Saccharomyces cerevisiae S288C: one gene and its partners. Changing the gene in region 2 together with the main gene of any one other region gives a genetic interaction. Each region holds a gene or a part of one and is shown on either strand. Other genes may lie near its edges. The genes, in order: RAD52, DBF2, SHE1 and CLB2.

Region 1 (7,786 bases), on a different chromosome or scaffold from region 2:
AAATCGAAGAGCCAAATTACTTCTTTCCAAGCTTATTTTCCAGGTCGCTTAGTTCCTTTTCTAAGTTCTTGATTTCCTCTTCGTTCTCAAGGGTCTTCATTCTTGCCAATTCGGCTCTTTTTCTCCTTGCCTCCGTTTCTTCCTCCCTTCTCTCCAGCTCTTGGATCCATAACTTTTCTCTCATCTTGGCTTTCTCCTTCAATTGTTCCTCCTTCGCCTTCAGTTCCTTACCAGAAGTCCCATAGATAAATGAACCTGCGACTAGTGCGACTAGTGTGGCCGCTTGTAGACCCACACGCCAACGGAAGTAGTACTGAGCTTTCCATTTATTACCAAGACGAACATTTTGAGCAGCCAGAATGACAGCTCCTGTAGTCAGCAAGCACCCAATGGGTACCAATGGCTGTTTCTTACAATGGTATATAATCCTTTCGCCAAAGGTCATATCATCCAAATCCCTCTCCGTAACATCGAAACTAGATGGCATGCGTGACATCTTGAACGTATAACTGTGATGTTATCGCTTCTAGTACCAGGAATTGAATTAATTCCGATAGGAAGCATTGCTTCCTCTTCTCTATACTTTTCTTTACTATTATTCTTGAAGCATAAAAGGGCCCTCCTTGATTCGCTACCCGGAAACGATAAAGGTAGCTTTTTGCTCTTTTTGCTCATATTAGGCCTCTACTAAAGCATTTGTGCGGTATTCCAATTTTTATTATTGTATTTATCTTACATGAAATGGGAGGAGGGGTGCTCCTCGGTTGAATTGTATTACGTAGCATTAGGGTTGCCTGAGGCGTACACTTCTAGAAACCAGTTCGCCAACTTGGCCACGTCTGCATCCAAATATACGTCGTTCAGAGCAACATTGTATTCAAGTACAATCTCCATAAAAGCACTGGTGGACAGCTGATAAAGAACACTGATCATGTCAGTAGTGTCTTTCATGCTATCTTCGTCTTCACTGTCTTGTTGTACTCTATCTTGGGCTGTCCTTTGTGTTTGGAAGGCAGTGTATGCCATCGATTCCGGATCCCAATCGGCAAATTCACCCAGTGCACAGATGGACCTCTCCAAAGTCTTAAGAATATCCCCAACGGATGCAATGATACCGCCTTTTGGATCTTCTGTCTTTGATCGGATCAGCAGTCCTGTCAGTGCTACCACACTATTTGCGTGGCATATGGGCAATGGAACCAGCTTCTCAGCTTGCCTTTTCTTGGAAATGGACCATATGTCAATTATCGAGATTTGGGCTTTGTTGGAGCCATTTGGTAATAGTCTGTAATTGTCGCTTTCATCAGATGATTGTCTTTCTGCGTAGGAAGGGAAAATAAACGACATTATAGAATTTTTCAGTTTTTTTAACATCAGACGCATAGCGGTCATAAATGTTGTTTCGTGGGTGAAAATAGAGCCGTTAAAAGTTTGTGTCGTTTCATCTAAATCGTTGTCGTAATACGAGGACCTATGCCTTTTCTTGTTTCCGCGGTTAAGCAATACACTATCGTCAGTTCTTACCCTCAGCCTGTTTGGTGATTCATCTAATAAGCCGTTATCCCGTAATGGCGCCATCATAGAGGGTCGGTTCCCAAAGAGTCTTTCGTTGGCGCTTGTTAGTTTCCCGTTCTCATACATATAATCTAGATTTTCTACTTTTTTTTTATGTCTAGCAGTTGCAGAGCCCCCAAGATCTTGTACTGATCTTAGGTACTGCACAACCTTTTCATTGTTTATCTGAATGGTCTTCAAGCATTCATTGAGGATTAATGACCAAGTATTACCACTACTGCTTCTGAACTTGGAGTGATATATTGGTGCTCGCAATGATGGATCCAGTGAAGTGGCCCTATACGCTAGTTCCTGGTAGGCAGTCAACCTAGTAAATGGCTTGTCTGCAGAAAGCCCACTAAGCAGGGTTTCCATCGGCGTCGACGACAAATTCGAAATTAGCTTGCCCTTGTGCAGACAACCTATGGACATATGTGCGTCAAATGCTATATTTATGAATTCGAAAGTGATGAAGATAATGCAGGAGATTATTAGTAAATTTGTGACAGCTAGCACGCCATTCGTAAATGAATCAAATAATCCCGATTTTTGCCTGGAAAAAAATACTGTGGTAAAGATTGGTAATACGAACATGCTGATTACACTTAGAATGACTGACTTCTCCATAATCCTCTTGACACGCTCTAATACGTAGTCTTGTGGGGCCTGGAAAAAGTTTTCGCAGTTGAACGACAATTTGTCAGCGTCAGTGACATGATGTTGTAGGTTGTAAATCGTGGGAACGACTAGCCAAATAAACAGCTTATAGTATGGCTTCCATCCAGATCCGCCACGTCCGAAAACCACACCCAGTACGAATGATAAAAGGATGCTGCCCATGCTATAGACTCCCTGGTATACAAGAAACTTTACTGATAACAATTGGCCTAGAATGAAAGTAAGTGAATTAGCGAACCCAAAATTCTTTACATGCATGTAATTTTTTCTTGTCACAATGATCAAAAGGGAAACTAGGTTAAGAGCTAAAATATTGGGAATAAATGCCAATGCCAGTTCCCATAACGGTGAGTGTGGCAACGCCAGCAGTGAAATCACCACAGTTTGGATAATAGAACATATGAAAAACAACCTCGTAACTAAATGGTTGAATCGGGTCTTGCACACGTCGCTAAAGATGGTATGGTACGTGTACCGTGGATTCAACAACTCCCTTGGCGTCTGTATCATCTGCTTGCCCTGTAATGTCCTTTCGTCTTCTCAATCACACTTACTCATCGCCAAAGAGTCTGCTCTTCCCGTTAGTGATTCTCGATGTTATTATATTCTTTAGTCTGTTAAGAAAAGACGAAAAATATAGCGGCGGGCGGGTTACGCGACCGGTATCGAATGGCGTTTTTAAGCTATTTTGCCACTGAGAATCAACAAATGCAAACAAGGAGGTTGCCAAGAACTGCTGAAGGTTCTGGTGGCTTTGGTGTGTTGTTGATGAATGAAATTATGGATATGGATGAGAAGAAGCCCGTTTTCGGTAACCATTCCGAGGACATACAGACCAAATTGGACAAGAAATTAGGACCTGAGTATATCTCCAAGAGAGTTGGGTTTGGAACAAGCAGGATTGCATACATCGAAGGTTGGAGAGTAATTAATCTTGCTAATCAAATCTTTGGATATAATGGCTGGTCTACGGAGGTAAAAAGTGTAGTTATCGATTTTTTGGATGAGCGACAGGGAAAGTTTAGCATAGGGTGTACTGCAATTGTTCGTGTTACGTTGACTAGCGGGACTTATAGGGAAGATATTGGGTATGGTACCGTGGAGAACGAAAGACGGAAACCTGCCGCTTTCGAAAGGGCCAAGAAATCTGCCGTTACGGATGCCTTGAAAAGATCTTTGAGAGGGTTTGGTAATGCTCTAGGAAATTGTCTTTACGATAAAGATTTTCTGGCAAAGATCGATAAGGTGAAGTTCGATCCGCCAGATTTTGACGAAAACAATTTGTTTAGGCCAACGGATGAAATCAGCGAAAGCTCAAGAACGAATACTTTGCATGAAAATCAAGAACAACAACAATACCCGAATAAAAGAAGGCAATTGACTAAAGTTACAAATACCAATCCCGACTCGACGAAGAACCTGGTGAAAATAGAAAATACAGTAAGTCGAGGTACCCCAATGATGGCCGCACCTGCTGAGGCTAACAGTAAAAACAGCAGTAATAAAGATACTGATCTCAAATCTCTCGATGCTTCCAAACAGGATCAAGATGACCTTCTCGATGATTCTCTTATGTTTAGCGATGATTTTCAAGACGACGACTTGATAAATATGGGCAACACAAACAGTAATGTTTTAACGACAGAGAAGGATCCCGTTGTAGCTAAGCAAAGCCCAACTGCTAGCTCAAACCCAGAGGCAGAACAAATCACCTTTGTTACAGCTAAGGCTGCAACTTCCGTACAAAATGAACGTTATATTGGTGAAGAGAGCATTTTTGATCCCAAATACCAGGCACAATCCATTAGGCACACCGTTGATCAGACTACGTCCAAGCATATTCCAGCGAGTGTGCTAAAAGACAAAACGATGACCACCGCGAGGGATTCTGTCTATGAAAAATTTGCACCAAAGGGAAAACAATTGAGCATGAAGAACAATGATAAAGAACTGGGGCCTCATATGCTAGAAGGGGCTGGGAATCAAGTACCGCGTGAAACCACACCAATTAAAACGAACGCTACAGCTTTTCCGCCTGCAGCTGCTCCACGGTTTGCGCCGCCTTCTAAGGTAGTACATCCTAATGGAAATGGTGCAGTGCCAGCCGTTCCGCAACAAAGATCGACACGAAGAGAAGTTGGAAGACCAAAGATCAATCCCCTGCATGCACGCAAGCCTACTTGAAACGCTTCCTGGCCGAAACAAATAAAAAATTTGCATCATTATTTATTACTCCAAAATCCTCTAGTTACTCTTTCAATTCTGATTTTATTTGTATTTCTTCCTATATCGTCTAGTTTTTCTTTCCTCCATGTGTCGTATTAATATTTACTTTAAATCGAATAAAAAATTCTTATTATTTTACAAGTCATTTTCAGGATTAGATTCATTATAACTTTACAAAAGTATTACATAAAGAATTATATAACAGATATTAGGATAACCGTATAAATAGAATAAACTATACAAATATGGCAACTCGGAAAAACAATAGATCATTAAGTTTGAGAAGAGAAAACTACGTTTGAGTTTCATTTTGTGGGTTATATTTTGTTTTCAGCGGAATCCTTAGGTTCATTGAGTTCCATCGGACCTATCCATTCCCAACATTTCATTATTTCACCTCGAATTTCAGTTAAGTTCGATTTAATATTACTGTTATTATGCTCTAAATATTTTACCACTTCTGACCATAATTGATTTTTGTATTTCAGATCGACAATATCAGAAAGAAAGATGTCACGCAATTGAACTATGCTCAAATACGCGTTTTCTTTCGGATCGGACATTGATTTAATCTTTTGGAATTTCAATTTTTCCATGGTTTGAGTAACGAGTTCTTCAATTCTTGCCTTCTTTCTATAATAATTCTTCAGCTTGATCTCGATTACTTTACTAATGACTATCAGTAAAAACATTAGCCATATTGGCCTTTGAAATTTTTTATACGTTTGGTAGATTTCTCTTTCAAATCGACACTTCATTCCAATGTATTTCTTGGACGTCGACCGAAAATTCCTCGTCTTGGAGATGAATTTTTCTGGAAGATGTCTCTTCTGTCTCGGAACGTCATTGGTTTTAATGATGTTGTTGGAATTTCCGCCAATGTTGTTGTCAGTGGGTGATAACTAGAGAAAATTAGGAAAAGATGTTAGTAAATAAATCAAAAACAAAAAAAAATTCAAAAAAAATTAAAACTGTTATCATATAATAACAGGTTTAATAATTTTTGTAAGATAATAAATTGTACTCACTTGCCTCCATAATATTTCTGGTTCTTCAGTTAAATCTTTGATAACTTGGATCCACAGGTCCTCAAATTCATCGTCGCGAATCCAAGGAGCTCTAGCCTCATTAAATATTTGATAGAGGGCATCTTCCGTCATACCACTCTCGATGTCGTCTTTTCCGTCACCGCATGAAATTTGTGCATTTTTGGCTCTCAGAAACTCTAAAGATTTTTCAACCACTTCGGAAACTAACTGCTGTTTTTTGTCGTCTTTAACACATTTGCCTTGTGCAGGAATAATTTCCAAAAAGTCAAGTCTAGATGGTGCTAACTTGTAATCTGGCTTACATTTAAGTTTCAAATAAGGATAACAAATACCATTGGGTGGACAAGGGATACATTTCGGTCTGTAGTCCTGCAACAAATTATCCAGTTTTTGAATAAACTCGAAGGAATTGCCACTAACTCGATGGGATGGTACTTCATGCCCACAGTAACCTATGAGCAGTCTTTGCTCTCTATACCAGAGGCCAAATAAGAGAGGAATAACAATGAATATGCAAAATAAAAATAGCGCCAGTAATGATTTGCTCAAAAATTTGAGTGCTCTTTTGAACTTATGCCTGTTCCCGACCTTCCCAGATCCTTGCTTAACATCAAATTCACTCCCATTTTCATGCTCTAATTGCTCATTTACTTCCTCTTGAAGTTCTTGCACTCTTGCTTCACACTTTTCGACGTCTTTCTCTGTGGGTAATTGGGGAGTCTCGATCCTTGTAGGCACTAAAACTTCATCTTCATCCGATACCAAGTTACTACTATCTGTATCTATCATTTCGACCACATTATTGCTGGTATTACCCATAGGCTGATGAGGACCTGGCGTGGTGATCTCTGGAAGCAAGGGTGCTTCCGACTCTGAGCCAGAGCCTTCGGACGAAAACAAAGACGGTGTTCTTTCACTCTGAGAAGGTTCTTGCTGTTCCACTTCTGGAACCAGTATTGTAGATGGTACCTCCTTTTGAGGCAATTTATCCGCAAATGAGGCAGAAACTTTTAACTTACTCAAGGGTGTGCTATGGCCTGTTCCATTGGCAGTTCCGAGCTCTTTTGGATTGTGTCGTATGTTCGGTACAAATGGATCATTTTCCGTACCGCTTGAAGTCAACGAATCGTTAAAATTATCCATGCTTACTGGCTTTCTATTTGTGTTCTTTATTGGTGTTTTGACGGAAAGTTTTCCTAAAATGGCAGAGCCATTTCCATGCTCTTGGTTCAAATCACTCGTCTTACGCTTTTTTGCCTTCTGGTAATCCTGTTCAATTTCTGAATCTGATGATAGGAGGTTCAAATGCTTATTATCGATTTTATTTTCCTTTGAATTAGATTCAGACCAGTCGTCAGAATCAGGGTCTTTCCTTTTCTTACGAGTATCGGAATTTTGCTGGAAATCATTGGTGTCTGATTTGTTGGAGCTTGATGTTATCACATCATCCTCTTCATCGTCCACTTCATCGGTATCCGTTCCACTAGGTACAATTAAAGGATCGTCTTTTTTATCATTGTCATCATCATCATCATCATCATCATCATCATCATTACTTACATCATCCAGTATTCTATTCTTCTTAAACTGTTTGGCCATGGGGGAAGCAGATTTCTCCCTGCGAGCTCGTCTACTTCTACGAGGGGAAGCTATAGATGGGGAAGATGAGGGACGGTCCATTTTCACAATACCTTCATCGCTGGGCCGAACGTTCAGATACATTTTCCGTAACTGCGGGATCTGCGGTTTAACCTTTTCATCGAACAGCCCCACCAGCGCATTTTTCCTAGCATTAGATGGGAAATCGACATTATTTTCTACCAATATCCTCCTCAAAGTCGCAACTTTCATTGAATTCGGATCAAAACCGTCCTCTAAATACTCCAAGTCACTATTCATCGCGGCACTAACTGAGTACTGCTACCGTTCTACTGTTTGTTGTTCTGGCCTCTACGTTCACTCCGTATGGTCTCAGTCTACTATTAATAATGACTGAGGACTATTTCTCTTCCATGTATTCCGCATAGTATATTGACAGCTATACAAGTAGATCGATGTCCAGATTAGCCACCACAAATTGAAACCAAAACAAAAACAAAGGGGGCTTCCTAAAACAGTAATTTTGAGGGCTCTTTAAAACCCTTGATTTCCGTTCAGGGTGATCAATATATATATCCTAGTTATTTTATAGATGCCCTAACTTTATTTTTAGGGCACGTGGGGGTCTTCTCTTTTCTTTTTTCATTCCTTTTTCATCTTTTTTTTGCGCCTGGCGATGA
Region 2 (7,931 bases):
GTTCTTAATTCTGCTATGGTATTCCTCTTTCCATTCCCAGACCTTACCAACAAAAGCTTCTCTTCCATAGTCATGTCTAGTCTTTCTGTCCTTAGCCCAGATTTGCTTCTCCACAACGGACTGAGTAGCAATACCAGCATGGTCGAAACCTGGCAAGAATAAGACAGTTTTACCTTTCATTCTGTTATATCTGATCAAAGAATCTTGGATAGCAATAGTCAAAGCATGACCAATATGTAAGGCACCAGTGACGTTTGGTGGAGGTGCTGGAATGCAAAATACACCTTCTGGTTTAACCTTACCATCAGCGGTAAACTCAGGTTCAAAAACACCAGTCTTGATCCACCAGTCATACCAAGAACTTTCAACGTTAGCAGGGTTATAAGCTTTTAAAGCCGGATCATCCAAGGATACTAAGATTTTTTTCTCACCTGGAACAGTTTTGTCAATAAATTCAGGGATTGGCTCAACTTCCTTCTTTTTCTTAGGTTTCTTTTGAGATGCACCTGTGGTGGCAGCAGCATTTTTTTTAGCTTGTTTGGCAGCGAACTTTAACAGTTTTTCAGCCTTTTTCTTCTCTTTTTCAATTTCCTTAGGAGTCTTTGGAGAGCCATCTTCCTTTAACGGATTAATGATGACCTCACCAGTCTTTGGGTCAACTGGAGGCAAATTATCAAGATCGCTCATTTTAAAGAACCTGACTTGATTATGAGTTAACGACTTCTTCAGAGAAAAGTTTTGACAAAGTGGTAATGATCGCCTATAATGACAGTTCAAAAGCCGAAAAGTGAATGTCTTAGATAATGTGTTTAACCACTTATTCATACCATCTAAGTAATTCCATAAATCTGAAGGACATACAACAACGATGACAGCCAGTGGTAGCACACACAGAGAACACCAGTAGGCTGTATGGGTGACTCTTCTAAAAAAATTTTTTCAGCGCGGTCTCTCGAAGAACTTTACCCGGTTTTTCTTTTAATTCATCACCTCTGAGTTGCTAGGTCTCTTAAACGTTCAGAGGTAGCATGACTTAGTATTCTACATATATATACATATATTTGGATATATTTGAAATTCTAAATGAAATAGTTTTAGTTTAGTTTTCTGTGAGAGAAATGTCATAGGTCCTGTAGGCCTTTTGAAACTTTTCAGCCTCTATAGTCTCTTGTTGCTTAGTTTGTAAACAGGTTGAAGAATTCCATTTCACCCTGCGTGGCAAGTTAAGTAAAAAGGCTAGTACACGTCGTCCAAACTGCAGATCTATTGTCTCACTGGCATTAAATGTGGCCAAATATATCTTTGGGTCCGCTTCAGGAGTCTCGTAGACGGTAAATTGTAAATAATTATTGGATTGGTTGTTAATTACATCCACATATTGTTTGGAAGAGTGTGAATCGTAACATTGGAACTCTAGCTTAGCATTTCTTGTGAATTTTTCGTTATTGAAATGAACCTGTCTATCTAAGGCACTGCAGAACTTTAGAACGAGGTATTTTGGAACGGGAATAACTTGTTTGTGGAAATGAATAGAACGTTCAGACTGTATTTCGAAGACAATCGTGCACATATCAAATTTTATGTAGTTCATCTTCACAAGACTAGCTTCATAAGCCAAAATACTCTGTGTCAACTCTGCGTTCTTGCTTGGATCTAATTTCGGAATATGTTCAATGGGAATAATGAGGCAATGGCCTGAGATATCCATATCACCCTTAGGAACACTTAAAGGTCCCTTCGCTGTGGTTAAATACACTAGTTTGCCGATTGATATTATCATATGATCCTCGAGGTTTGGATTTGAAAAGCAGAAATGACAACTTGACGGCAAAATCGTTCGAATTTTTTTATTTTCATTCTTTTCTCTATTAGCAAGTACCTGTTTGTCTCCATCGAACGAATTCTCTGTTTCTGTTTCTAGTGGCCTTTTATTGCTGTTTGTAACCACGCTATTATACGGGTTAGCTATCAAGTTGGGCGGTTCAGGTTCATCCTTTAGTTCGTTGTCCCCTATTGGCATATTGAATGCATAGGCCCATTTCTTTCCAGATCCATATTTTGGAATATTGAGGAACCTCGATAAGCGCTCTCTTTCCCACTGGAAAGGCTCTAATTCGTAAAAGTTTATTTCATCTGAAAAGGCAAAATGGTACCTTGCTTGTAACTTTTTCGCCAATTCATCAACAACTTCACTTCCAGACAACCTTCCACATCTCTCAGAGATCGAAAGGCCCCATTCTTTTGTAAGGAGAATGTCTACCTGATCCTCACTTTTGCCAAATTCGTCCAGTATGCTTTTTTTCTCCCCTTGAAGAGTATCATCCGGATAAATAAAATATGAAAGAGTGATTCCATTTGCTAATTTATAAGTACCCATATTATGCAGCAATGTTACATTTTCATTTATCTTTTTGGATTTCGAATTGTTAGCCTTATCACACGATAGTAGTATTAGTTGAGGTAACCCATCAGTATTCAGCTCAAAATTTTCATCATACGAGTTACTGAATATAATTATTAGATCAAAGGGCCCTGATTTTTCATTCACTTTCTTGATCTTTCTGATAGCCTCATCGGCATCGCTTTCACTTATATGAGCTACTAAAATCTTTGCATTTGTCATCCTATTTTTATATGTAAGTTTTTGAAGTGAAAAAGATATCAGTAAACCATAAGCCCTTTTTTATATATTATGGATCCTTCTAAGAGAGCTACCTTGCGTTTTTTGTACATCTAGCAATGTAGTATCAGTCCAATTTGTAATTATCATTGAAAAAACAATTGATGTTAACACCCATTCCTTTTCATTTTTTGCAGATTTTCGATTAATAGTGGTCATTGCTGTTTTCCTGTAAAACATTACCAAGTTTCGCCGCTCCCAACATGAATGCTTAAGTTTAGTTCAAAACGGTCATGGGATGGACCGTTACCGTGAACTGAGATTTTAAACAATGGGCTTGAAGTCCTAAGTAATGCACAACTATATATATATATATGTATATTTATGAAAAAAGCGTTCATAGGTGCTAGTTGAAAAGTTTGCATGAAGCTCGTTAAAGCTAATTATATCGCGGCGAATGCAAGACAAGAATTCATTTTTACGCTAGTAAAAGGTTGAAAAGGGGTCTGAGTGTTCCAGTCCGTTGAATAAGATGCCACTGGAACCCTGTTTACCATTTCTATGTCGGAAAGTGAACCCAACAAGTTTTGATGATACTGCCGAGTCATCTACCATAGCCGTTAATTTGTCTTGTCTTTTGAAAACATCAGCATATTTGGCCATGTCAGCCTCACTGGTGAAGTCATCAAAATAACCGGCATCAGTTTCGCTGTCTAGTTGGGGTGTAAAAGGCGGGATCATTGACCTCAAAGTACTAAAGTTTATATCTGCAAAATAAGACATGCGTTTAACATGTTCGAAGGATCTTAATCGATTGATTGGATCGGCAATCAATCTTGTTATTAAATCCCAAGTTCTATCGGAGAATGCTGCCCTCCCATCAGATTGTCTCGGTCTTCTTAAAGTTTGTTTCCAGCGCCTTAAGTTGTCATAGGTCTCATTAGTCGATGATCCACTAAATGGTGTATAACCAACTAAACTTTCGAACAGCATACAACCCAACGACCAGTAATCCACAGTAAAGTCATATTTCTTTCCTTCTAAAACCTCCAAAGCCATATAATCCGGAGACCCAACCATGGAGTTCGCATAATTAATTTCCTTCTCCCTCAACTGGTTGTACATTTTTCTTCTATCTTCTATAGATTTCTCTGTAAACGCTGGAAATTCCAGGTCCTTGATTTTTTCTAACCTTATCTTCATACTTTCAATTCTTTCATTAGAAATCGTACCAGCAGCCAAACCAAAATCTGTTAATTTTATATGTCCCTTGGCATCGATTAAGAAGTTTTCCGGCTTTAAATCTCTATGTGTATAGCCTAAATCATGTAACGCATTAACAGCGCAAAACATTTCACTGATGTAAAATCTCGCATGGCCACTTTTCAAGCATCTAGTATTTATTAATAATGTACGAAAATCACCGCCTGGTACAAATTCCATAGCCAGGTATAAACTTTGTAGGTCTTGGAATGCATACAGAAGTTTTACTAACCATTCAGACCTTGTCGTGGTTAGGATATCTCTTTCAGTTAAAACGTGTTTTGTCTCGTTGAGCTTAAACAATAGTTTTTTGTTCAAAATTTTCAAAGCACACACCTCTTTTGTGTCTTTCTTTCTGGCTAAATAAACTTGCCCATAACCACCTTGACCTACTTGTGTGATCATTTCAAAATCCCTATTTTTTGGTTTCAACCTTCTTTTTCTCAAAACCTGATGTTCCCTTTGTAAGTAAGAGGACCACTCTTCGTTGAGTTTAATCTGGTCAGAATTCGGAAGTTGGCTTTGCTGTTGCAGGTATTCTAGAACTTGCTTCGTGCGTTGTCTTCTACTAATTACATAGTCAAACATATCACAGTAATGTTCTAGAAAGTACATTTTGCAAACACTAACAACTCTCTGTGTTTTATTTGAAGTTGCTCTTTCGTAAAACTTTGGTGGAAGCTTCTTGGGAGAGTTCGAGACATCCATATCAGGTTGAGATACTTCGTCTATGTCCATGTTGGAAGTATCTTCGTAAGGAAAAAAGGATGGTTTTACCGGCGAAGGTGAATCATTGATACCCGCAGGCCTTGTCCTCCTCTTTGTTATATTTTGGTTAGGAAATAGTCCAGTGCCCCCAGGAGTCCCATGCCCATCGAAACTCAAATTGCTCATATTGCCTGCCAAGAGGTCGACATTTTTTTCTGATTTTGATAGCATATTAAAGAATTTTTCTTTAGCAAGGAATACTGTAGATGTTGCTTGAATTTTTCTGGTATATTAGTTTCTATCTTTAGCAAGGTTTCTATCTTACAATAATTTACTTGGACGAATTGCCTCCTTGTATTTATTTTTAAATAAACAACAAGCGGAGGGCTTCAACATCAAGGTAGCTTCGAATGATTTAGATTGAGGAATGAAACATGTCATTGTTTACTTTTTGAATAATTACATTTCCTAAAAAGGGCATCTGGGTTGCAGCGTGTGGTGTTTGGCTTTTTACGAAATTTATGAGCGAAAACGCTCTCGCCGGTCACTACTATATAATATCTTTTTAAATATTATCAAGTATGTAGAAGAGCCCTAACCATGACCGGAAAACCAATTGGTCTCTTCTTCTGGGTTAGTATGCTGTTTCTTGTGCATTTGAACCATCTCTGGCGACAGATTCGGTTGCTCTGTATTATGACCCAAGGAGATTAGGAATTCGTCAGCTTGCTGATTAGCCTCAGAAATCCTGTGCTTCATTACCTTTGTTAGCTTGGCTTGATTACCAGCAGATCTTCTGGAACCTGATGTAGCTCCTACTGCTTGTTGTAAAGAAGTATTAGACATACCCAAACCAACTTCTTCACCATAGGAATCAAGAACAGTTTGTTCTTGCTTGCCAAATTCCATCCTATTTTGTAATTGTCTGACATGCGATAGTCTGAATTTTTCCTTGTACTTCCTAAATTTTCTCCCAGCTCTTTTCTTTTTGGGTTGGTCCTCCGGAATAGGTAGAGCCTTCGTTTCAGAAATGCTCGGGGCTTCTGATAGCTTTCTAGCTTTCTTCGATAGTTCGGCTTTCCATTTATGAGCTAAAACTGTATTTCTATCACCGTTTTTCTGGCCAGCATCAACTCTTGCGGCTAGTGATACTTTTGCACAAAGCATCCTAAGCATTTGTTTATGGACAGAAACGGGAAATTTCTGAATCATGTCAGAAGCAAATAGATATCCTTCTTGTCGTACTCCACTCTCTAATGTATGTAACTCATGTGAGAGGTGCTTATTCTTCCCAATGGACGCAATGTTGCAACTGGGAATGCGACTGAACTCCAAAACCCCTCCAGCATGTGCTATTAATTGGGCTGCTATCTCCGGGCCTACCAAGAAACACACGTTAGGGGCAATTATTGATATCTTTGAGGCTATGTATTGACCTATATCTTCTTGTAGTTTCCATAAATTTTCCAATATGCTATTTGCTTCTAAAATTTGCGTCCTCGTTTTGATGTCCAATGGCTCTTTGTTTTTGAAAGACGTCTTCATGGACATTGTTAAAACGAGGATCTGCTCTCTGGTCAATTTTGCTTTATTTTCCAAGTGGAAAAATAGTTCATCACTTTCGTTTTTTGAATAATTTTCATTTTCCAGTATGCTTATCACTTTTGAGTATTGTAATGGTGATGGTATCAATGAAGATAGTTCTGGAAAACGTCTACTGTACAGTGAGATTAGAAAATTGTGCATTAATTTTATATTGCTCTTGATGAGGGGGATGATTTCGTTAAAAAACGGTAACAGTTTAATGAAATCTATTTCTTGTTGTTGAAGGATTCTTTTTAAATCGACAATTTTTGGTAAAATCTGTGCTGTCTCTGATAGAGATAACCTATCAGGACTGATGAGTGCCAACGTCCTGAATAATTCTATACTTTCCGGAAGAATTTCGAATGGATTGAATTTTTCTGTTTGACAATTTACCGTAGTGAGCTTTTTAGTTTGTATGTCTTCTTTTTCCTCATTAACTTCATCGGCAAGGTCATATTCGAGCTCATCGAAATAGTCCTCTTCAGAGCTCATAAGGTCTTTGTATATTTTCTGCAGCCAAAATGCTATCAAATAGTGCTAGTTGAGGCGTTCAAATCGTTTACCTAGCTTTATTCTGAGCGTCGCCACAGCAGTACTATTCAAAACTTTTAAAAATACTAAGTTAACTTGTGCCAAATCGCCGAAAGGACCACATCTAAAAAAAAGAATTAAAGAAAAATATTCTTTATGTAAACTGCCGGCTGCTTTAATTATTTAATATTATACAGATACTTCTAAAAGTTATGATTTTGTTGTTTATTCTAATCTGTCTCAAAATTTATAACCATGTCATTCCCGAATGCAGCAATCTCATGAAATATGGCTTCTTTATTTAAAATCACATTCTCATCATCCACTGGTTTAACGTTGCAATCCAAGTTTACTCTAAATTTGTGGGCTCCCTTGAAGAGTGGCTTTATTAGCCCTGTGATGACATTTTTATCTCCTTTCTCTCCACCATTCACACCTATATACTTGCGGCTTGATAAAATCAAACTATTCTTGTACTTCAAGTTCAAATACTTCACTAACTGGTATGTTGGATCCATTTTTTCACTTAAATCATTCAAATTCTCTGGAAAGTTCGATGGGGCTTGATCGTTAGTTATATTCTTGAACTCTGTGGCTGAAAGTATACCACAGGATGATTTCAAACCTATTGGTGTCCTCAAATCAACGACAAAATCGTAATCTTTTAATCCAGGCGTGAATAAAAGATTGATAGTTTGCTGGTTTAAACCGTGTGTCTGTAAAAGATTCACGGCTACTTTAGCTAATGCTGTAAGCCTTGTAGCAATGGGTAGTGGGATACCTGATGAATAAAGAATACCGCTTGGATCGTTCTTAGAGGCAACAAAAAATTGCAAATGTGTACCGTTGGGATCACTGTTCCTCAAGTTCGTGAAGTTCATTTGAATGCCCTTATATTGTGCTAGGGTTAATCTTTCAGAAAGCTTTTTCATCGTTTTGGAGTCTAGCTCTGAGCCAGCTCCAATACTTGTTTCAAATGTATCTCTTATATCATCTTCTGGTTTTACTAGATCTAAAATCAATGGATCATCTTTCCAGTTCCATTGACTTATAAACTTAAGCACTTTGAGGAAACCGTTTTCAAGAGAACCTGGAATGAAATATGGTGCAGGATCAACAAAAGGTTTAATGGCAATCAACTCTGCTAATTCGTCCGTTATATGACCTAGTAATAAATGAGTGTCCAACCATCTTTTGAATAGTCTTACCACAGGGGAGTAGA
Region 3 (7,479 bases), on a different chromosome or scaffold from region 2:
GCAGGACGAGACCCAAAGATAATATTTCTATAACGAAGTCGTTCGAACCCATCAGATTTCTGCTTTGATTACATACACAAGCTTTGTTTCTTTCTACAGGTGATTGTATGTGGGCTTATGGTATGCCTGCAGGACGCGTATGCATGTACGACGGCACGACCCGGAGCAAAACGGCGAGTGCTCTAACGCGGTGTATGGGCTAGATTCGTAATAGGGCTCTGGGTTTGCTGCAAGGGGTAATTATCAGCGATGGAATGACTCCGTTACCGCCCGACGCTATGTACGCCTTTTCCGCGTGCGCCGGTCTTTACCGGCAGGGGAGAATGTGGTGACGGCGGAGCCGGCGTATGGTGCCTCTACAAAAAATACGAAGTCTCATTTTAGTCACACTGATTTTCATAAGAAATGAGGAAAAAGAAAAGAGATGAAAATTGAGAAAAAAAAAAAAGCATTGTCGGGTAACAAATTATGTAGTGAAGATCAAAGGATATACACACAAACGAAGATGCGCATTAGCCACGTCCATCCCTTTCCCTTTTTCCCTTTCTACTCCGTTTTTACAATAATGTACGTTATAAAACAAGCGGCTGAAGAACAAGTTGGGAATAAATGTCAGCAAGGAAGATTGGTGTAAAGTGAAATCAGATAAGCAACTTAATACACAACCTCAAAAAGAAAAAATTACCATGTCATTCATACCTATTGTATGTGGTATGAAGAGTTTCGACTCTTCATACGATACCGTTCCCGGACATCAAAACCTGTATTGCCCGAATTGTCACAATTATAGTGTCGGCCCCATAAAAAGAAAGGAATTTTTCACTATTTGGTTTATACCGTTGGTTCCGGTCTTCTGGGGAAAACAGTTGCACTGCCCCATATGCAATTGGCGACAAGATTTTAAGAATGACGAACAGCTTAATAAAGTCATTCAAGAACAACAAAACTTACGACAAAAGCAGCCCAACTGATAACGAAATAATTTCCTTTTCTTCCTCTTATATATGTATTTATATATATGTGTTCACTATAACCATACATATATTATACAGAAGTATAGACACGATTTTTCCATACGTAACAAATAACATCACGATGCACGAGCACTGTTTCCAATGGAGAACAAGCGAAAGGCGGTAAATGCGCTATGCTGATTGGTGTAGAGCGCGGGCCAATGAGAAGGCCCCACTCTCAGAGGGTGAGGTGCGATTATCGGGGACATGTCTCCGTCGATCGGGCCCACGTCGTCGCACAATATAAATACCATTTGAGTTTTTAATATTAATTTTTCACGACAACCCACTCAAAAAAGTATATATTCACTGTTAGTTATACGGAACATTGCAATACATCTACAAGTCAAAGGAGCCCCTCTATATTATTTATATTTGTCGTTGTTCTTTTTTGTGTGCTCTTTTATACTTCAGAATCATACATTAACATACATATAAGCAAATAGCCATGTCTTCCAACGCCCAAGTCAAAACCCCATTACCTCCAGCCCCAGCTCCAAAGAAGGAATCTAACTTTTTGATTGATTTCTTAATGGGTGGTGTCAGTGCCGCTGTCGCCAAAACTGCTGCATCTCCCATCGAAAGAGTTAAACTTTTGATCCAAAACCAAGATGAAATGTTAAAACAAGGTACTTTGGACAGAAAATACGCAGGTATCTTAGACTGTTTCAAGAGAACCGCTACACAGGAAGGTGTTATCTCATTCTGGAGAGGTAACACTGCTAACGTTATCCGTTATTTCCCCACTCAAGCTTTGAATTTCGCCTTCAAGGACAAGATCAAGGCCATGTTTGGTTTCAAGAAGGAAGAAGGTTACGCCAAATGGTTTGCCGGTAACTTGGCATCTGGTGGTGCTGCTGGTGCCTTGTCATTACTATTTGTTTACTCTTTGGATTATGCAAGAACTAGATTGGCTGCTGACTCCAAGTCCTCTAAAAAGGGTGGTGCTCGTCAATTCAACGGTTTGATCGATGTCTACAAGAAGACCTTAAAATCTGATGGTGTTGCTGGTCTTTACAGAGGTTTCTTACCTTCTGTCGTTGGTATTGTTGTCTACAGAGGTCTATACTTCGGTATGTACGATTCTTTGAAGCCTCTATTGTTGACTGGTTCTTTGGAAGGTTCATTCTTGGCTTCATTCTTGTTGGGTTGGGTTGTTACTACTGGTGCTTCTACATGTTCTTACCCATTGGATACCGTTAGAAGAAGAATGATGATGACCTCCGGTCAAGCTGTTAAGTACGACGGTGCCTTTGACTGTTTGAGGAAGATTGTTGCTGCTGAAGGTGTTGGTTCTCTATTCAAGGGTTGTGGTGCTAACATCTTAAGAGGTGTCGCAGGTGCTGGTGTTATCTCAATGTACGACCAACTGCAAATGATCTTGTTTGGTAAGAAGTTCAAATAAGTCTAATCTGGCTTGATTCTTAATCTAAATTCTTTCTCACATTTTCCTTTTTTTCTTCTTTGGATTTTTGGTGTTTAATGAGTGACACGATTTGTTTTGATAATATTATTATCCTCCTATTTTTTTAGAAATTCTTTTCAACAAGAATCAAAGATTCATAAAAAAAGAAAACGATGAAATTTTTTGAACAACTTTTACGTATAAAGAAGAAAAAAAAAAAATTCTAAATATCCAGTAAATAGTTTTATATTAGTAGTATTCTTTCCCACTTTTTAAATGTCATCACATGATGTTTCTTATAAAATGCAATTTTTTTATTACTTAATCACCGCCAAATAGGTCTATCACTCTTTGTGCCGGTGGCAGTACTTTGCTTAAGGTTACTGGACAATGAACCACTTGTCTTACTTTTAACCAACCGAGTCTTTACATTTGTGTGTTCCTTGGATTTTGCAGAGGTTCCTGACGATAAGTTGTTCATAGACGTCGACCTAGAGAACGTTGTTTGCTTGTAAAGTCTATCAAAAACGGAAACTGAATTCTTCAATTGCGAATTTGTTCCTTGCGCAACTGGCGTGCGTTCTACCGGTTTGGTTTTGGCGTGTAAATCTCTTATTGATATCGATCTGTGTACTTTAGATCTTGGTATCGATGAAGCTGTCGAAGAGGAGGATGTATTACGGTGAGCGGAATTGATCTTGTTCAAAGAATTCGTAGTGGGCATTAGAAAGTTTGGTTTGTGCATAAATGGCTTGGGCTTTGACAATGGTGTGTTCTTTATTGAATTAATGTTAGAATTTGCTTGCATAGATCTCGCTCTAGCCACTATGTCATTACCATTAACCAATGAGTTCCGTAATTTCAATCTTCGTATTCTTCTTGTGATATCGTTTACCACTGGTGTAGTGTATGGAATTGAGCGGGACGGTCTCGACCTTTTCATCGAATCCGATCGATCCTGTGGGATTGCATGTTGTGACTTTCTCTTGGGCGTATGTAAAAGGGTATAATGTGTGTCTAGCGACTCCATCTGGCCAAATTGAGAGTCGTGCTTTGCTTGGAAGAACTCATTAATATTATACGAGCCCGATTTTGGTTCATTGTTCTTGTCGCCGTTGTATTGTTGTTCGGATTGATCTTTTAAAAATTCAAATTTTGAGCTAGCTCTAGAATCCAGTTCACTTAATACAGAATTTCCTAATCTTTTGGAAACGCCAATAGTCTCGATGATATTGCTATTGTTATTTGAATGAAAGTCTATACTCATATGCGGCGGCGTGAAACCATTAATTTGTGAAGTGGTGTCTTTTTCGTTATGCTCTTCTTGGAGTTTATCATTCATCCATGAAGATAATATGTGTTCTAGAGCTGTAATTGCATGTTTATTGTTTATTTGTTTATACCATTGCCTAGAAACTTACGATTTTTTCATGTTATTTTCCCCTTCCCTCTCTGTGCCTCTAGCCGGCGATGCGCGAAATGTTTAAAGCAAGAATTTCGATAGTAATAAAGAAAATACAACGGCTTTATTGAGTATTTATAAAACGTTTTTTTTTAATTCAAAATACATATACATGAATAAATATATACATATTGAATCATTTTTTTCCCTTTAATAAAAATACAGTTTAAACTAGTAATGATGCAACATTATTCGTTAAGATGATAGTTTGTTTTGTCTGTGTGGGACGTGCGCACGCACACGTATATACTACGACTGCTCCTCTTTGTTATCATGATTCTCTTGAGGTTCTTCCTTCTCTTCCAAGAAAGAAGCAGAATCAGAGCGTTCAGTAACAACAGTGGCATCTCCTTCGGCAGCTTCCAATTTTCTCTTGTAGTTTTCACGTTTCTCAATTTCAGTATTCAGGTTCTTCAAAAGCATGGACTCAGCAAGTTTGACATTCTTAGGAAATTTACTTGTGATTATGAATTTTCTAAAATTTTCGTCTTTATCATCGTCATCCTTCCTTTCCACGACAATATTGGTTTTTGTGAAAGTTTTCAAATTCTTAATTCTGTTCATTCCACGGCCAATAATGGCGCCTACATACAGTTCTGGAATCTTCAATTCGATCCTAGTGTTAGATGAGGTAGAAGGGGAAGTTGGCTCACCGGAGGACTTTTTCAGATGAGGGAAATAAGATCTTTCTGTGCTGAATCTGACGTCAACGTCACTCAAGATGATCTCGCTAATTTCGATAAGTACATTGGTGATGGATCCTGGGAAACCCTGGATCTCGATAATTCTCTCGTCGCTAGCAGGTAAGAAGTCCTTGGAAGCCACGATCTTAACGCCGTGCTTATTGATCAGGGACTTGATGGTGGCGCCTGCTTTCCCGATAATCGATGAGATATGGGAATTGGCCACAATGAGCCTCACATAACCGATGTCCTCCAGTTGCTGCAGATCTCTGATCTCGTCCTTTGAGGGAGCTGGTAAAATATGGTTCAAAAAGTGGAAGTAGTAGTGCTCTTCCGCTTCGCCCTCAGCTGCGTCCTCATTTTCGGGATTCCGTTTGTTAAGCACGTCAACAATATCACCAATGGCATTGGCCACATTGATTACGTTCCCAGCACAGGACAGGATCCTGTCAGAGCAACCGGGCACCTTTTCAGAAATACCGATCTTGACGGCGTTTGCAGCTCTTATGCGTGAGATGGTGGAGCCCTTAGTGCCAATGATCTTGGCAGCCTCTTTCAATGACAGCAAAAGCCTGTGATTGATGGTGGGTTGAGCGGTGGTGCCAACAACGGGGGCGCCGCCAGTGGCGGCGCTGCCGGCATCACTGGAGCCGCCGTTGGTATTGTTTGTGGGAATTGCAACGGGAGTAGCAGCTTCGAAGAACTGTGACATGGCTGGTATATATACTAATGCTGTCTCTAAGTTACCCGATAAGTTGATGCTTTGTTGTACAGGGGACGCGCGATAGGAGTGGGGAGCAATATGCTTTTACTTCGTATGCCAAGTAGTTATATATGCTCGGGTACTTATGCTCCAGATTATAGTCTTGTTTGTTGTTTGGCTGAGCGGCCGGACACACAGAAAAAAAACAAAAGGGCTTTCGTTAAAAGGGATAGGGTAATGTCTAGACTTAGCATAGGGCTAAAACAGAAATAGTAGGGTCTATACCGTTTTTGAAAACAAGTTGTGTAGGGTGAGACTTTTTCTTTTTCCTTTGAGTTTTTCTTTTTCTTTTTACGATTTGTCAGAAATTAGTCGGACGCTCTTGTGGGGTGAGCGCCAGCGCCGCTATAGTATATATAAAGAAGTTGCTGTGCTGGCGTGGACAATAATTGAGTCATTACAAAAAGTGGCGTACATAAAACTACAACAAACCTACAGGATGACCATAGATAACTACGACAACAGTAAACAGGATAGCAGCAAATACGAGGTTAGTGGTACGGGTGATGGCAGGAACGGCGATGGCGGCTTGCCTCTAGTACAATGTGTCGCAAGAGCTCGTATCCCAACCACACAGGGTCCGGATATCTTTTTACATCTTTACAGTAACAACAGGGACAACAAGGAACATCTAGCCATTGTGTTTGGTGAAGACATACGGTCGCGCTCGCTATTCCGTAGAAGACAGTGCGAGACGCAACAAGATAGAATGATCAGGGGCGCTTATATTGGCAAACTGTATCCCGGCAGAACTGTGGCAGACGAAGACGATAGACTCGGATTAGCTCTGGAGTTTGATGATAGTACAGGTGAGTTATTAGCTTCCAAAGCCACTACATGGGACGCCCATAACGACACGCTGGTACGGATCCATTCTGAATGTTACACCGGTGAAAACGCATGGAGCGCCCGTTGTGATTGTGGTGAACAATTCGATAGGGCCGGTAGGCTTATCGCTTGCGACCACGAACCCACAAGCAACATCAAAGGTGGAAACGGCCATGGTGTTATCGTGTATCTAAGACAAGAGGGTCGTGGCATCGGGTTAGGTGAGAAACTCAAGGCCTACAACCTGCAAGACTTAGGTGCTGACACAGTGCAGGCCAACTTAATGCTGAAACATCCCGTGGATGCTAGGGACTTCTCGCTGGGTAAGGCTATTTTGCTGGATCTTGGCATCGGTAATGTCAGGCTGCTGACAAATAACCCGGAAAAGATAAAACAGGTAGATCATGCGCCTTACCTTAAGTGCGTTGAACGAGTGCCTATGGTACCCATACACTGGACAAACTCCAGTGAAGGCATAGACTCCAAGGAGATAGAAGGTTATCTCAGGACCAAGATAGAAAGAATGGGTCATTTACTAACGGAGCCTCTGAAACTTCATACAAACCCTCAACCTACTGAGACAAGTGAAGCCCAAAACCAAAACCGTATGAACTCTGCGTTGTCATCAACATCGACGCTGGCAATATAAACACAAGTGTAGCATAATTATTAGTACATATAGTGCTTTTTTTGTAATGAAACGAAAATACCATGTTATTTTAATGCGTTACCCCGTCGGCGCGTATTGGCGCATTAACATCTTTATAGAAAATCAAATTATTTACTTATTTATTCTAAAACGCTAAACATCTATTTATTTACATTTGAGGTTGAAACTTCCCTTCATCCGATTGACAGGCATATTTAGCGGTAATTATTAGGGTTTTTGGAGAGACCTTGTATTCTTCAGAAATAATGTCGTCCTTCAACAATGAGACCAATAATAACAGCAACACTAATACACATCCAGACGATTCCTTCCCTTTGTATACCGTATTCAAGGACGAGTCTGTACCCATCGAGGAAAAAATGGCACTGCTTACACGGTTCAAAGGACATGTAAAAAAGGAACTAGTTAACGAATCGTCGATCCAAGCTTATTTCGCTGCGTTACTGTTCATCTCCGGCCATTACGCTTACCGTTCGTACCCGCGGTTAATCTTCCTATCACATTCCTCGCTTTGTTACCTTATCAAACGTGTGGCCATGCAGTCTCCAGTACAATTCAATGACACTCTAGTTGAGCAATTACTAAACCACTTAATTTTCGAGTTGCCTAATGAGAAGAAATTTTGGCTGGCTTCCATTAAAGCCATTGAAGCCAT
Region 4 (7,898 bases), on a different chromosome or scaffold from region 2:
CGCGCTTTTCCCTGTATTTAAAGCCGCTGAACACCTTTACTGAACAATGGGAGAGAACCACGACCATGAGCAGAGTATTAAAAGAAATTCTATGATTTATAATGAAAATGAGAGGCAGTTGTGCAATTCAAACCTAAAGATTCTTCAAAATAAAAGGGCCCTTTCAAAAAATGACAGCTCTAGTAAGCAGCAGGTTCAGGATTCTAAACCAAGAAGGGCTTTAACAGATGTACCAGTGAACAATAATCCTTTAAGCCAGAACAAGAGAATAGTAGCAGGGAGCAAGGCGGCCAAAGTACGAAGAGAAGAAAACATTAGACCTATTGTTAGCGCCGTTCAAAAAAGACAGATATATAACGATCGAACGGCAGCAGAGCAAGAAGAAGAAGAAGAAGAAGAAGGAGAAGATGATGATGCTGCTTCGATAGTGAACAAAAAACGCAGAATAGACGCTGAAGGAGTGAGTGAAATAGTAGGCTGGCAGGACCTAGATTATGTTGAAAAAGATGATACTGCAATGGTAGCAGAATATTCTGCTGAAATTTTTGCATTTTTATATAGAAGAGAATTAGAAACGTTACCATCGCACAACTATTTACTCGACAAAACGTCCAAGTATTATTTGAGGCCTTCCATGAGAACAATATTAGTGGATTGGCTGGTAGAGGTGCACGAAAAATTTCAATGCTATCCGGAAACGTTATTCCTATCCATAAACTTAATGGATAGATTTTTAGCTAAAAATAAAGTTACGATGAACAAGTTACAATTATTGGCAGTTACCTCACTTTTCATCGCGGCAAAATTTGAAGAGGTAAATTTGCCCAAACTAGCTGAATACGCTTATATCACTGACGGCGCGGCTTCTAAAAACGACATAAAAAATGCGGAAATGTTCATGCTCACTTCCTTAGAATTCAACATTGGTTGGCCCAACCCACTCAATTTCCTAAGGAGGATCTCCAAGGCAGATGATTACGATCCGGTTAATAGAAATATTGGTAAGTTTATTTTAGAGTATGCCTACTGCTGCCACCAATTCATTCATTTACCTCCATCTACCGTAAGCGCAATGGCAATGTATATAGCGAGAAGAATGACCAACAGAAACAAGAACGAGCTATGGAATGGAACACTACAGCATTACAGTGGTGGTATCGATCCAATACACGATGAAGCGTTTCAGTCTCTCTGCATTGATCTAGTCAAAGACATCGCTAGTTCCAAAACTCATTTAGATTCATTGATTTTGAAGTACAAGAAACCAAGGTATGGCTCTGTTTATTTCCAAACTTTCAAGTGGTGTACATCCGAAATGCATAGCAACTTTCAAAATCTATTTAATCTTAAGTAGATTAGTACTAGTAATGCTCATGAATTCGCATACTCTTTACATTTTCTTTTCTTTTTGCTGAACTAAAAGGAAAAAATTTTTTGCATCTATCTATCTATCTATATATATGTATATATAGTTTATAGTGATATGCGTGTTCACTTCAACATATATAATACCACCAGTATTACTACTATTATCATCATTAATATTAGAATTTTTTTTGTTTTTAAATTTATTCTTTTATTTTTATTATTATTATTATCATTATTACTATTAAAAAATTATTATTATTAATGTTATTCCAATGTTAATTATAATAACTATACTGAAATAATTTTAAAAGAAATGAAAAATGAGAAGAAAGCAGCATTTTTTAAGAGACTAAGGTTATGATATTTCCCATAATATCAACATCCGATACTGATGCTTTTCTTTGTCTACCCTCGCTACATGCATCCGGAAACGGTTGAACTGAAATAGAATAAAACTTATGGTACAAATCTGAAATTAAAATTAAAAAATTAAAATTAATGGTGTGGTGTTATTAGTGAGAATAAAAATGGAGTTTTATTTTGGAAATCTTAGGCTTCGAATGATTTTTTATCGTCAGTTTAAAAATAACAGAATGAAAGGCGCTAAAATTGGGTGTGAAATTTGTAAGAATAAATGGAAATGTGAAAAGAAATGATTAAAAAGCAGCCATACATTTTATATGGACATTTATCGATTATCGTTTTAGATATTTTAAGCATCTGCCCCTCTTCTCATTCATGCAAGGTCATTATATCATAGCCGTTTTTTCTAACCTTTAAAGCCCATTGGACGGAAATTATAGAAGCTTTCATAAATCTTCTAGATTGATATTTTCTATGAAATTCATCATGAACAATTGGACTCACTAGATAATCCATTATCATGTGACACACGGGCGCAAGTTCTTCTTTAGTATACCCGCCGCTATAGTGTATTAGATTTCCATCCCATTTACCTTTACCTAACATTTTTCTCGACATAAACATCGCAGCTGCTGCACACAATGAGGGTAGTATCCCAATAAATCTGAAATCTACCAATGATATCTCTAATAAGAATTTGGCAAGAGTTCGAGACTGTATATCGTAGTCATCTGCTTTCGAAATTCTTCTCAGAAAATTCATCGGATTGGGATAATTTAGGTTAAATTTCAATGTCTTTAAAATGAATTTCTCCCCTTCTTTGATTTCATCTTCCGTACATGCACCGTCTGTCTCTGATGCGAAATGTTTTATACTAGGAGAATAGACCTCTTCATATTTAGAGGCAATGAAAAGGCATGATGTGCCAACCAATTGTAACTTATCCAGTTGAACTAGCTCTTTACCTAAAAACCTGTCCATTATGTTAATGGCAAGATACAAAGTCTCCGGTAATAAGCCGAATTTATTATGGATTTTAACCAACCAATTAACTAGGATATCTCGATTTTGATGAATATTTCTATGCTGATAGAGATCTTCCTTCTTTGGAAGAGTAATGACCTCTAGTTGGTGGAGATATTCGAATATATCATTGACGTACTCGCTGACCATGAATGGATCATTTACATCTTCTGCATCTAGGTCTTCCCATTCATATTCTTCTTTGCCATTTTCATCGCACACTTTAAACTTTTTGGGCAGTTCTTGTTCAACAATTGTAGAAATTGGTCTTTTTTTTCCACTATCAGTTTCACTTTCGGTATTTCTAACTTGAAGTTGACTTCTAGCTGGATGAAGTTTTTCGTTTTCTACCGAGTTATGGACTACCTCAGTGCTTGATCCAACGCCTTTTAGGGGATCATGCTGGATTATCTCCTTCGCTGAGGAGGATTCTTGTAAACTTATATTTGCAGGCAGCTCAGCTCTCCCCTCCTTTATAGAAGTTAGCGCACCAAATTGCTGACTACTTGGGTCTTGGTTTTCTTTATCATCTAAAAGATTGTTTTTGGGGAGTTGGATACCATTTTCTTTCAGGGTTCTTTTCTCCTCTTGTGCGGCTGTTGATCTTGATACGCTTTCTCTAGTAAATTGAGGAATCCGACTTCCCTCCTTCTTTACTGAGTTTAGTGTAGATTTGAAATTTGTTAGGGCTGGATTATTCGCATTACTCTTTTGAAATGTCGTATTTGTTACATTGTTTAAGGCCAACCTTTGTACATTCCTCAAAAACCTTGATGAACTAGTATTCTGTGAGTTTTCTGTGTTTTCTATTGGGTTGGACATCTATAAGATCAATGAAGAGAGAGAGGGGGTAATCAATAAAAGGCTTCTTGGAAGGAAATAGCAAGTTATAAAAAAACTTCTGACAAACGAGCGAATGAAGTTTTTATACAATGATTAAAATTTCTCCAATGTCGTTAAAAGAATCTAAAAGGACAAAAATACAAAAGGAAAACAGATGCTCAATCAAAGAACCGCTTCAACAGATATTCTATGTCAATTTATTGAATAGCTCGCAGTAGGTTTTTATTATACACTGGCTCAATCAAAAAGAAAGAAAAAAAGAAAGAATAAATAACCAGTATCCTTTAGCTATATTTCTTTCGCTTTTCAGAAGTATCAATTCGAGAATACTTTACTTCTTGAGGTATAGGACAAAATTAATACCAGAAAGATTCAATTTTAGTAAATTTTTGGATCTTTTCAAAAGTCTAGCTAAATTGGCAAAAAATTAACCTAAAAAAAATCTATTTTATTATATTTTGATTTTTTTTCCTTTCTAAATTTTTGAGAAAGGATCTATTTCTCTTTTCCCCAAAGAGGTTATATTTTCCATTAAGAGCAAAATTTCTGAAACTCTATGCCCATGCTATGAGATGCTAGCTGTAACGAGTTTGCTATTTCCTCGAGGGACAGGCACCGAAGTTCATCCATATCGCGAACTTCGTTGTTGACCTTTTCCTGATTCGGTCGCTATATTTACAAATCTCCTTTTTTGATTAGTGCCTTGAACTTGCACTTTCCTAAACGGGCTCAATATGTAAACATATTATACAAATAGTTACCCGCATTTGGAATAAAATCTGTCTTTTGGCGGCTATTTCCGCGTGTTTGATTAGAAGGAGTAGTGGTCATTCTAATAATTCCACTGTGCTAATGCACTCGCACTTAATTTTTAAACTTCCGATGCATCAACACTAATGATCATAGCATAAAACGCGTAGAAGGCGATCTTAAGTTTGAGTCCCCCTAAGGCACCTTAGTAGACGGTCAAGAACAGGGTGTGAATATGGGCGATATTCAAGCGAGATTAGGACTTATAAAACAACAACAACAGGGATAACAAAACACTTGACCCCTATTTTTGTAATAAAACCGTTTTCAAGGTAAGGCAGTTAGTAATTTATGTACAACAGAAATTTCTGCCATTTCTTTCACGACAATAACGTAGGATAAGGCCATGAAAAACAAAAATACTAAAGTGCTTATCTAATAAAAGGAAAGGATTAAGCAGTTCCTGCCCATATTTTGGAAAGGCCGTAGCTTAGTTTCCCTGAAATTTACTTCAAGAAAGGTCTGCTTAGCAGTCACATATGTCAATTGTGGGCTGTTTAGTCAAAACCACTTGGAGGTTGATGAATTGATAGTATTTTGGTAAATGAACTAAATATACATTATCAATAAGACGTTGGAGGGGCTTTCTGTATAAATTCACCGAACACTCCCAAATTATGATAAACTTGCTTAAGCATCTTTTCGAAATGCAGTGCATGTGTTAAGTGACAAGCTAAAGGTAAGACATTACGATAATACTCTGTATAGATCGTAGTAACATGAATTATGAAGCATATAAAAATAATATGAAATGTTCATCGAATTTAATAAGTATAAATGCATGAAGATAATAATTCAATAAGATAGATAAACAAAAACGCATGAAGAGAACTTGTAGAACAATAAGCATATATCACCACTCCACTTTTTCTGAAAATTGTGTAGAAATGTAAATTCTGTGATGTTCGTTATGATTCAGTTTCTGTTTCTCAATCTCTATGTCATACTCTTACGCTATATGATAACACACTAGTAGTAGGAAAACTGGTCAAGAGATGATTGTTGTTTCTTTTCCCAACTCATACACCCCAAACAAATGCCTTTATCAAAATCCGATCTCAACACTTATCTTAGTTTACACATTTATCAAATAAGGTTGGCAATGTACCTTTTTCGGAAGGTAAACATCAAATATTTATAGAAATATTTATTAAGGACGCTCTGTTGTATTACGGGCTCGAGTAATACCGGAGTGTCTTGACAATCCTAATATAAACAGTCTTAGGGAAGTAACCAGTTGTTAAAACAGTTTATCAGATTAATTCACGGAATGTTACTTATCTTATATACTATATAAAATATGAATCATACTAAGTGGTGGAAACGCGGAATCTCGGATCTAAACTAATTGTTCAGGCATTTATACTTTTGGGTAGTTCAGCTAGGGAAGGACGGGTTTTGTCTCATGTTGTTCGTTTTGTTATAAGGTTGTTTCATATGTGTTTTATGAACGTTCAGGATGACGTATTGTCATACTGACATATCTCATTTTGAGATACAACACGCTCCGAAGAACTCATCCTTGTTAGCTCAGTTGGTAGAGCGTTCGGCTTTTAAGCGCATTTGCTTAAGCAAGGATACCGAAATGTCAGGGGTTCGAGCCCCCTATGAGGAGTTCTTTACTTTTTTGCACGTTTTACAAATATGCAGAAACAAAGACAATACATATTGTATCAGTTGGTTATAGTGTTTTGGACTTACAAGGTTCTGACAATATACATTAATGTGTTCCTTTTATTGAATGAAAAAAAAAAATAATTCTTACATCTCAATATGAAATTTTATCCTTTACAGTACAAAAGTAATTATTTCGAGAGTCTAATTAGAATGATATCTAGAAAAGGCTTTCCAGTTGAAATTCACCACTGGAATTTTTGGTAAATACACCTTCTTCTGTGATAATTCCGTCAATAAGCTCATGTGGAGTAATGTCGAAGGCTGGATTCCAGACATTGATTTCAAGAGGGGCAATACCGACCTTTCCAGTGATTGGCTCTCCTGACTCATTCAATATCAAGGAACCATTTTCAGGATTAATTACTGTACCAGTAACAACCTTGAATTCCTCAGGGTTACGTTCTTCCACAATAATGTCATCGCCAGTTTCGGTTACATTATCGATAGTTGTTTTGGGAGCTACTACAAAAAACTTAATTCCGAACTGCTTACAAATTACAGCAAGTTGTAAAGTACCAATTTTATTTGCTGTATCCCCATTACGAACAATTCTATCAGCTCCAACAAATGCTGCTTTGATTGGAATTGGACTAGTTCTAATTCTATACGCGATGGAACTATCAGTAATTAAAGTTGATGGAATCTTATCATAAACTAGCTCGTATGCTGTTAGCCTTGACCCTTGATTATAAGGTCTAGTTTCCAGTGGGAAGACATGGCCCATCCTCGGGCATTTTTCATTGTCCAATCCCGAGTCTGCCTTGTCGGTTTTAGCAAGTGAATCCTTCCACAAAGAACGGATAACACCTAAAGCCGTGCCATATCCAGAGGTTGCTAAGGATCCAGTATTACAAATCGTCAGAACGGCAAATTCGTCCTTGAAACCGTCCTTTTGTAACACGTCAATCAAATACTTAGCTCCATTATCACCCATTTTCATGTTATTCGCCAAATCCTCATCTATCAATTCACAGACGTAATTATATAAACTACCGTCAAAAGCCTTTAGGTCACTTGAGGATTTCAGTATGTTCTTTATCTCTACAAGAGAATTTGATAAATTAACGGCTGTGGGTCTACTACTCAAAAGGAAATCTAGCCTCTTATTTAGCACTGTTTTTGTAGATTCCCAGTTAACTAAAGAATACAGCGTAGCAACATCAGAAGTTGGGTTGTGTTTTATTAATTGTACCTCAGTCAAAACAGATAACGAACCCACAATTGCAATTGCCGGGGCACCTCTCACCTGCATACTTTTGATGACTGAGTACCCATCATCAATTGTGTGAATTGGAACGTATTTAGTAGTATATGGTAAAAGTAATTGATCAAGTACCTTTACCGAAACATTTTCTGGCTCCGATCTATCAAAGACGATGGCTTCCAACGACATTTTTTGTCAGCAGTTTGATAGATCACTTTGTCGGTCGTAGATATTGCTCTTAATCTTTTTATTCTAGCATGCTAAATTGATGAATGGGGAATACTTTGGCCGTGCGCCCCATCATCTCATCTTAGTAAGTGAAAAACCGGAAAAACTAACGCCAAGAAGGCCTGTAAAAAAAAAATCTTACTGATTTTCATTTTAGTATATAATACAATTACTATATAACTGAAGAATATTTACGCTAGACACATGTGTGTGTTTCCTCATTTATTTTTTGAAAACTCACTCGTAACAGGGTAAAATGGCTTTACTCCATTTCCATCATTTTCATTATACGTTTCATCTGAGTTTATTGATCTGATATCTGAAGAGTGCGTGGAGCTATAAAATGAATTATGCCCTTCGACTTCAAGGATATGTGAATTAT

Evidence for each region.
Region 1: mutations in DBF2 (region 2) and RAD52 impair growth when combined (synthetic growth defect), as found in Saccharomyces cerevisiae (2 studies listed by BioGRID, with this or other methods).
Region 3: mutations in DBF2 (region 2) and SHE1 together harm fitness more than expected from each alone (negative genetic interaction), as found in Saccharomyces cerevisiae (2 studies listed by BioGRID).
Region 4: mutations in DBF2 (region 2) and CLB2 together harm fitness more than expected from each alone (negative genetic interaction), as found in Saccharomyces cerevisiae (5 studies listed by BioGRID, with this or other methods).

Annotation. Positions count from the first base shown.
Region 1 is NC_001145.3:209,145-216,930, reverse strand, and holds RAD52 (recombinase RAD52), read left to right. Parts: upstream 1-3,000; coding exon 3,001-4,416; downstream 4,417-7,786. Other genes in the region: respiratory supercomplex assembly factor RCF1, read right to left, coding at 17-496; NDC1 (Ndc1p), read right to left, coding at 775-2,742; SRC1 (Src1p), read right to left, coding at 4,776-5,360, 5,487-7,406. UniProt on the Saccharomyces cerevisiae protein: Involved in DNA double-strand break (DSB) repair and recombination. Promotes the annealing of complementary single-stranded DNA and by stimulation of the RAD51 recombinase.
Region 2 is NC_001139.9:665,080-673,010, reverse strand, and holds DBF2 (serine/threonine-protein kinase DBF2), read right to left. Parts: upstream 4,823-7,931; coding exon 3,104-4,822; downstream 1-3,103. Other genes in the region: VAS1 (valine--tRNA ligase), read right to left, coding at 1-825; DRN1 (Drn1p), read right to left, coding at 1,100-2,623; U4/U6-U5 snRNP complex subunit PRP31, read right to left, coding at 5,186-6,670; rRNA-processing protein UTP22, read right to left, coding at 6,940-7,931. UniProt on the Saccharomyces cerevisiae protein: Ser/Thr-protein kinase involved in the mitotic exit network (MEN) and required after the metaphase to anaphase cell cycle transition. Phosphorylates CHS2 to regulate its dynamics and chitin synthesis at the division site during cytokinesis.
Region 3 is NC_001134.8:157,980-165,458, reverse strand, and holds SHE1 (She1p), read right to left. Parts: upstream 3,761-7,479; coding exon 2,744-3,760; downstream 1-2,743. Other genes in the region: YBL029C-A (uncharacterized protein), read left to right, coding at 687-971; ADP/ATP carrier protein PET9, read left to right, coding at 1,462-2,418; HEK2 (Hek2p), read right to left, coding at 4,130-5,275; RIB1 (GTP cyclohydrolase II), read left to right, coding at 5,766-6,803; STU1 (Stu1p), read left to right, coding at 7,070-7,479.
Region 4 is NC_001148.4:767,331-775,228, reverse strand, and holds CLB2 (B-type cyclin CLB2), read right to left. Parts: upstream 3,577-7,898; coding exon 2,101-3,576; downstream 1-2,100. Other genes in the region: B-type cyclin CLB5, read left to right, coding at 47-1,354; S-methyl-5-thioribose-1-phosphate isomerase MRI1, read right to left, coding at 6,242-7,477; HOB2 (Hob2p), read right to left, coding at 7,735-7,898. UniProt on the Saccharomyces cerevisiae protein: Essential for the control of the cell cycle at the G2/M (mitosis) transition. Interacts with the CDC2 protein kinase to form MPF. G2/M cyclins accumulate steadily during G2 and are abruptly destroyed at mitosis.